2 separate regions of the Mus musculus genome follow, and region 2 is reported to be linked to region 1. The links are microRNA targets in miRTarBase. Many come from high-throughput screens and were not tested one by one. Region 1 holds a microRNA gene; the other region holds the end of a gene's coding sequence.

Region 1 (4,151 bases):
CATAGCACCTTGGTTCATTCAATAGCACCCACATGTCCCAGTTCCAGGAAACCTTCATCTGGATTCAGATACACACTACACATGCATGAAAGCAGCCGACCTGTGAATGGTGCCCACAGGAGAGACTCAAAAGTAGTAGCACTTTCTATGTACAGTCCAGAAGTGTGCCCCACATTTGAGTCTCACCAAGATGAGCAAGCAAGGAGTCTCTGGTTGATTGAAGTTCCGATGCTTTCTCCACATGGCAACACACAAAAGGGAAGCACTTTCCACTTAAAAGCTTAGATAGGGCCTCCATTTTGAGTATGGCTATATGGAATTTCGCTAGATCCAAACATGCCTACAACTGAACTGAAGATTAAGGATTATTCAATGCCAAAAGGATAAATGCAGCTATATGTAATACAGTACCTGTCAAATCTGGGTCACTTCCCGTGAGGTTCCGTGCACCTCAGCTTTTACTTTTGCCCCATTACAGACTGAATCATACCCACAGATGACACCCAAATGATGCAACACTTAGGCCAACTGCAGTTTCTCAATCGGCAACACTACAAACTCTGCGGCACTTCTTACAAAGAACAAAATGTCACACAGTTTGAGTACCACAGATTGAAGCATTTCCACAGGGACCTGCTGTGGTAATAAACCTGAAACTTTATAGTCAGTTCTTAGCCAGACCAGCCAGCCAGGCAGGTTGAAGGCAAGTAAGTACCCCAGGCTAGGCAGGATTACATTCAACTCAACTGGAACACCTGAAAAACAAAGAGAATCCATGAAGATTATGCTTAGGGCACACAATGTAACACCTGTAATCCCAGCCCTCATGAGCCTGGGCTATTGTAAAGCCAAAAGGTATTATGGGTATTATCTACCCGGCTGTCCACCAAGCTTGTTTGTGCTAGGAGCCAGGTTAAAGTCAGCTACAGCCAGCAGGTCCTAAAAATTCAATCCAACCATATCAAGACTCACAACCATCAGTCCAACTACAGTAGTCAAGCAAGATATAGCAACTACAGTAGTCAAGCAAGATATATAGGATCTTTTAATCCCAGGTGGATGGAGCTGAGGCCAGGCTGGTCTACAAGTGAGTTAGCTCCAGGACAGCCAGGGCTACAGAGAAACCCTGTTTGGAGAAAAAGGAAAAAAATTGAAAGAGGACTTAATATGGCGGCCACGTGAGATTTAAAAGTAGGCCTTTCTTTACTCAGACCTGAGGCTTAGACTCACCACCCCTGGACCTGGAGTGCCTCCTTCCACCCTGCCCTGCTTCCTCCTCACCTCCAGCCTTGCAGCTCGAGTAGCCAGTGGCAACGAATTCACCTCCAGCACACATACCTGTTTCAAGCAGGTAAGCGATTCCAGGTTGCAGCTGCAGCCGGCTTTTCAGACGCCATGTACACACAGAGACAAACAAAATGGATGCACTTTCCCGCCAAGCCGCGGAGAGGGCCTCCACTTTGATCGACACTGTATGTTCCAACTTCCAAGACCTGAGGCTCAGCTCCTCCGAGCGAGGCCCATGTGGGATCCCGGCTCCTTTATGAACGCGGAAAGCCTTTAGTACCGCATGCGCCCAAGTGTTCGGACTCAAACCCACATGTGACACCCACCTGCCCAGAAATGCAACCCCAGTGAAAACATGACCCACTAAAACTTAATTCTTAGTTCTTAGCCGTTTTGAGTTCTCAACCGGTGACACTCAAAACCTGGCGGCACTTTTCTTCCGATGAAAATCCAAAAGAGCCCCCAGTTTGAGTATCACAGGCTGGAGGTCAAGCTTAAGAACAATCTACAATGCACCTGGACTCACGACTGCCTTACATCCATCCGCGTCTCGTGGCACCCAACTGAACCGCCCTCTTTAGGATAGGACCCATTAAACTCCAAGCCTAAACCCCCACACAGGTTGTCCGCTCCTGTAAACCGATGCGTCAGATGCAAAGCTATGATGTTTTCCCCATGCAGTGGCACACAAAGTGGAAGCACTTTCTCATTCAGGCTCAAGAGAGGGCCTCCACTTTGATGGCCGCTACATAGGTGTAACAGCTCCAAGCAGCGACAGGACGCACATGGAGCCCCCAGGTACCCTACAACGACCACCTCAGTTACCGTCTACTGGGCAGGATGCCCATCCCTAGCCTTTCGCTATACTCAGTCTCATTCCTTTCTTCGAATCCGTACTCACCACGCTGCAGTTAACCCGGAACACGTGGCACCAGGGCTGGTAAATGTGCCAGATAGCCGTTTTCTCAACCGGCGGGGCTTAAAACTAGGCGGCACTTTTTAAAGAAAAAAAAAAGTGCCCCCATAGTTTGAGTACCGCAAGATGAGGCGGTCCAGACGTTAAAACATTTACCAGGAGGAAAGAACGTGGAGAACTTAAAATTCACTCCAACCTGAAGGAAACCTGGATGAAATCAAGGAAGAGTTAGTACATCGGTCTAACTCAAGGTATAGTGAAACTCAAAATTTCTACAATGAAACCACGTAGTTAATGAAATGTACTGCATAGACTCCCTAGACCTGCCCTCAGTAACTCCTAGCTTTGGTTTCTGGTCCCCAAACTTCACTCGCGCCCAGACTACTCACTTTCCCCACATAGGCTCGTTCCTCCCTTGAAATTATGTAGACCAAGTCAGAAAAAAAAGCCCAACTCTTTTTCCACACACATTAGTTCTAAATGTCTTCTTTGGAGACCAGACCAACCTCAGATGGGCCTGCCTCTGCCTCGGGATTAGTAAACCCAGCCAAACCGTGGGGGCGAGCGAGGAAGGCTGAGTTCGCGGCTAGCCTGCCTTTTAAAAAAGGGGCTCTAGTTTTTAAAAAGTAGAATGAAGATGGCCGTGATGACCTTTAATCTGGAGGCAGAGAGGCAGGCAGAAATGAGAGTTAAAGGCCAGCCTGGCTAGTCATCTCCAAAGTTGAAGCAGGAAGATCTCTCTTCTGGAAATCCTGGATCTACTTTCGCCTCTCTAAACCAGGTAGATTAAAACCACAGAACTGAAGGAAATAAAAAATCTGAAACTAAAAATATTACCTTTGCCTATGTGAGAAGCAGCACGCCGGAGGTATCCCTGAAGACCGCAGAGACCAGCATTCCCGATGTGGAGTAGAAGTCTCTGAGAGGCGTGGGGGAGGCTCTAGGTTCTTATATAGTCTGAAGGCTCATTGGCCCCCTGGACTGGGAGGCTCTGATACCCCTCCCCCACCCCGGAGAATCCTTACTCTACCACCCTGCTTCCTCTGAGCTGAGTTTCCCTGCGGCAGAGTGACCTTCACTGGTTTCTTCTCCCCCCCACCCCCCAGAGGAAACAGATTTCTTTGTTTGTTTCTAGAAGCAGCGCCTTTAATCCTATAGTTTTCTAGGCCGAGGCTGGAGGATCTTTGTTAGTTCAAGGCCAGCTTGGTCTACTATGGTGACTAGGCACGGGACTAGGCAGGGCTACATTCAGTATTAAGATAATAATAAAAATAAATAAAGGAAGAATGTGGGAGGTTCAGTTTATTCTTTCGTTTGAATTTTTTTTAAATCCAGAGTTTCAAATCCTCCCTCTTTTTTACCTTTCTTTCTTTCTTTCTTTCTTTCTTTCTTTCTTTCTTTCTTTCTTTCTTTCTTTCTTTCTTTCTTTCTTTCTTTCTTTCTTTCTTTCCCACACTGAATATGAAGGTCCAAGAACAATATGATAGAGTTAGTTTTCTCCTATGCTTAAATATGTTTTTTTTGGGGGGGAGGGGGTTCAAGACAGGGTTTCTCTGTGTAGCCCTGGCTGTCCTGGAACTCACTCTGTAGACCAGGCTGGCCTTGAACTCAGAAATCCGCCTGCCTCTGCCTCCCAAATGCTGGGATTAAAGGCGTGTGCCACCATGCCCGGCTGTTTTTCTTTTGTTATTATTATTGTTGTTGTTATTATTATTTATTAAATATCTTTAAATAGCTCCATGGATTGAAATTAGGTCTCCAGGCGGCAGGGCTAAAGCTACAGAGGCATATTGCAGACTTGGAGTTTAGGGTTTGTTTGTTTGTTTGTTTGTTTTTTGGAGACAAGGCTCAAGTACGCCAAGCTGGCCATAAGCTCATTAAATAGCCAAGAATAATTTAGGACTCCTAAGTCTACACCTTGTGTGTGTGTGTGTGTGTGTGTGTGTGT
Region 2 (4,000 bases), not on the chromosome of region 1:
GGTAAAGTTGCCAGGGAGCTGGGCTGGCTAGGGTGCCAGGAGAGGGCAAAACTGGAGAGCAGCTTTGAGCAAGGATGGGGGTTGCCACTGGCTATCGTCTTTCCCGATGGGACAGATGGAGGTGCAGCGCCGGCCCTGGCTAGTGGACTACGGGGAGAGCGGAGAACAGGTAGCTGGTTTCGTGAAGGAGTGTTCACACATCACCTTCCTCACCATCAAGGTAGGACTTTGTGCCTAGTGAGGGACAGCCGGGGCCAGAGCGGGGGAGTGGTGTGACTTCCCCGTCTCTCTCTGATGATTCTGGGTCACCCTTGATGCATTGGGCGAGCTTGCAGGGTGAGGAGGTGAAGAAGGAAGCGGCTGGAAGTGAGGGGTGATGCATGTTGGGGATCCAGATCTCTCATAAAGCTTTGCTCCCCAGGGTGCCGGACACATGGTCCCCACGGACAAGCCTCGAGCTGCTTTTACCATGTTCTCGAGGTTCCTGAACAAAGAGCCTTACTGATAGCTTCCGCTGCAACCCATGGAAATCCTCAGTACCTGATCAGCCCCTCTCGGCCTCTCTCAGCAGAGAGGAGTCCTCCGCTAATGCTCCCGTGGGGCAAGTCCTGTACTAAAACTGCCCAGACTTCTCACAGCCTGGTGCATCCCAGCCTGGGCCTCAGGGCGTCACAGACAGCCTAGGACCAAGTGAGCACTTTGTTCCGGCCATCGTGGGGTGGCCTGACCTCCCCGACTGCATAAAAACTGACCACCCCAGGACCCCAACAGAGCTAGAGAAACCCAAGGAGGGGGGTGGATGGATTCTAATTGATGGTTGACTAATTCTGGAATTAAATCGGGTATAGCTTCCAACTGGGCTCTTCTCTGTGGCACCGGGACCACTAACACTGTAGATGGGAAGGGGTTGGCAGGGGGTGCAGAGAAGACTTCAGTTAGGTTCCTGAATGCCAGCCACCCAGGTGGGGTGATGGGCTCAGGCAGCTGCAGCAGAGGGTGGGGGGACATGGGAGGCCGCAACGTCTGCAGGACGGTTCTTGTCAATCACTTCTCGAAGCCCTTTGGCAAAGTGGAGGTCAGCCCCAACAGTGACGAAGCCCTGCGGGAGGGGACAGGGAGCCTGGCTGGTTCAGTTGTTTGGAAACAGCCTCCAAACAAACACAAGACTCTTGAGCAAATCCCCTCAGGGGCCCCAGCTGCTTTGCGGCGTGGCGTATGTTCTCTGGAGCATGGCCCTGCTTCTAAGTTAAATCTTTACTACTTAAATAATATATATGTGAAGGAGCAACTAGTGTAAAGGGGTTTCGGGAAAACAGACAAGCACTGGGGTGTTGTAGGGACAGGAATGCCCTGGTCTACGGCCTCCTTTCCACAATGTACTTACCGCGTGGTTGGTCACCACCTCACGCACGAAGTTGATACCCTCAGGAAGGGGGATCTGCACCCCACGCCAGGTACGCTCTGTGGATGAGAGAGGCAAGCTCAGCCTGGGTGTCCATCAGTCCATCTGTGTCGTCATGTCCACCATCCACCGCCGTCCCCCCTTTGTTAGTCCGTGTCCCCACTCCATCCTCCCACCCTCAGTCCCTACCGTTCAGCAAAGGCATCACTCCGATTTGCAGCAGTGTCTTCAGTGGGGCCTGCAGTGGGATCAGCTGAGGGGGAAAAAAAAGGCAGGGGGGGGCGACAGACAGTGCATACAGGTTTGAGTGAGCGGCCAACTTGCCCCGAGGCCTGGACCCACCCTTTGCCATCCCCAACTCACCGCCAGAGACTCCAGCGCAGACTGATTTGAGTAGATTTGAAACCTGTGGGAGAGAAATACACCGTGAAACCTGGGAACACCCTTTCCTTGGGCCCTACCTAAAAGATGGCAGCAAGTGACAGCCTTCCCAGTTCTATCCAATCATCCTTCAGGTAGCTGCCATTTCCCAGGTGTGCATCCCTGAGTGCCTTTGGTCTCTGGAGCCCCCTTTCTTTAAGCCTACTGCTTTTCTTTTTTTTTTTCTTTTGTCTTTTTTTTTTTTTTTGAGACAGGGCTTCTCTGTGTAGCCCTGGCTGTCCTGGAACTCACTCTGTAGACCAGGTTGGCCTGGAGCTCTGAAATCCGCCTGCCTCAGAGTGCTGGAATTAAAGGCGTGCGCCACCACTGCCCGGCGCCTGCTGTTTTTCATTTGTCAGGAATGCCTATGTGCCACGCTCTGCGGCTAGGTAAATAAGTATGGTTTTATCTAAGGAAATTCCAACAATCTTTACTCTCTGTCAGATACCAAACTTATTCAAAAGAATTAAAATGGCTCTGCAAAATGGCTCAGTGTGGTGGGTAAAGGGCCCGACTGCTTGAGTTTGATCCCTAGGGCACACATGGTAGAGGGGAGACTGGACAGGTTGACCTTTGACCATCAATGCACTGTGTGACACGTGAGTGCCCTCACACATAAATGCATATGTTCATAAGCTCACACACACGAGTTAATTACAAAAAGGAAAGCCTGCCAGCTGTGTTGGCCCATTTCTTTAATCCCAGCACTCAGGAGGCAGAGGCAGGTGGCTTTCTTTGAGTTTGCAAACAGCCCCAGTGAGATTTTTTTTTTTTTTTGTCTCAAAATGGGTTTGAGGAGGGGCACAATACTGAAGAGATGGCTTAGAGGGCTTGCTGCTAGCTGGGCAGTGGTGGAACACGCACTTGGGAGGCAGAGGCAGGCGGATTTCTGAGTTCGAGGCCAGCCTGGTCTACAGAGTAAGTTCCAAGACAGTCAGGACTACACAGAGAAATCCTGTCTTGAAAAACAAAACAAAAAGGGGGGGGGGGGGAGGAGGCTTGCTGCTCTTCTAGCGGATCTGAATTCGGTTCCCAGTGCCCACATCTGGCAGCTCACATGGCTTATAACTCCAGCTTCAGGGTATCTGAAGCATTCTGATCTCTCCAGGCTCCCGTACATATACATATTACACACCACACCACACACACACATACACACCACATGCATACATCACACACATCGCACACCACACCACATACACACCATGCATACACACATTCCACACACATACCACACACTTATCAAATAAGAGGACAGGAGAAAGTTGATGGATGGTTCAGTGTCTAAGAGCTCATACTTCTCGGGGGAACCAGCACCCATGACACACAATTGACGACGTCCTGGAACTCCAGGAGAGGGCATTACTTTTGCACCTACATGCACACACACATACCCACACATACAAATTTGAGAGCTGCCAAGGTGGCACAGACCTTTAATCTCAACATCCTGCCATTAATCTCCAGACGCAGGGGGTCTCTGTGAGTTCCAGGCTAGCCTGGTCTACATATTAAGACCCTGTCTCATTCAAAACAAAAACAGGCAGTGGTGGCGCATGCCTTTAATCCCAGCACTCAGAAGACAGGCAGGTGGATTTCTGAGTTTGTGACCAGCCTGGTCTAGAGTGAGTTCCAGGACAGCCAGGGCTACATAGAGAAACCCTGTCTCGAAAAACAACAAAAACAAAGTAAAACAGAAGAACAATAAGCAAGGAAAAGGGGAAAAGCTGAAATGCTGGACTGGAGATGAAGAGCAGGTACAGAGCCCGGGTTCCATTCCCAGGGCCACATAAATATATGTGCCACTTGGGGAGTGGGGAGAGAGAGAGACTGTCTGCATGAAGGTCCACGTGTGTAGGAGTGGATTTGGACATGTGCATGTGAAGGATGGGGATGGTCACACCATCCACCATGTTTTGAGCCAGAATCTCTTATTGGCCCAAAGCTCCAGCGTTTGGCTAAGCTGACTGGGGAGTTAGCCCCAGGGATCTTCTATCTTTCCCCACTGTTGGGGTCACAAGCCATTGCCTCTACTCTGAGTTTTAGGACTCATACACTCATTCTCAAATTCCTTCAAATCAACTCTTCAGTCCTTGGGGTGTTTTGTTTTGTTTGGGGGGGTTGTTTTGTTTTTTGGAGTTATGGTGTTTGCTTGAAACAGTGTCTTGCTACATAGGT

The links. The annotated mature microRNA mmu-miR-292a-5p reads ACUCAAACUGGGGGCUCUUUUG and lies in region 1 at 1,739-1,760, opposite strand. An mRNA with a match to its seed (bases 2 to 7 or 8) in the 3' UTR can be bound and repressed. Matches are read on the target gene's strand: a 7mer-m8 pairs with bases 2 to 8, a 7mer-A1 pairs with bases 2 to 7 and ends in A, and an 8mer does both.
Region 2: miRTarBase lists Ctsa as a target of mmu-miR-292a-5p. Seed matches in the 3' UTR shown: 7mer-m8 at 1,704-1,710 and 7mer-A1 at 2,028-2,034.

What each region holds. Positions count from the first base shown.
Region 1 is chr7:3,216,809-3,220,959 of GRCm38, reverse strand. Mir292 (microRNA 292) reads right to left here and starts at 1,771; the gene lies at 1,690-1,771. It overlaps Mir290a (microRNA 290a), which reads right to left and starts at 2,334; the gene lies at 2,252-2,334. Mir290b (microRNA 290b) reads left to right here and starts at 2,265; the gene lies at 2,265-2,322. It overlaps D7Ertd143e (DNA segment, Chr 7, ERATO Doi 143, expressed), which reads right to left and starts at 2,176. Exons shown (of 1, transcript NR_028425.1): 1 at 1-2,176. It also overlaps Mir291a, Mir292b, Mir291b, Mir293, Mir294 and Mir295, and 1 more gene.
Region 2 is chr2:164,838,730-164,842,729 of GRCm38, forward strand. Ctsa (cathepsin A) reads left to right here. Exons shown (of 15, transcript NM_008906.4): 13 at 1; 14 at 116-220; 15 at 422-2,303. The coding sequence ends at 505. Pltp (phospholipid transfer protein) reads right to left here. Exons shown (of 16, transcript NM_011125.2): 13 at 1,766-1,808; 14 at 1,592-1,655; 15 at 1,385-1,461; 16 at 789-1,099. The coding sequence ends at 977. Among named protein-coding and RNA genes, the nearest start is that of Ctsa, 7.0 kb to the left of the region's middle.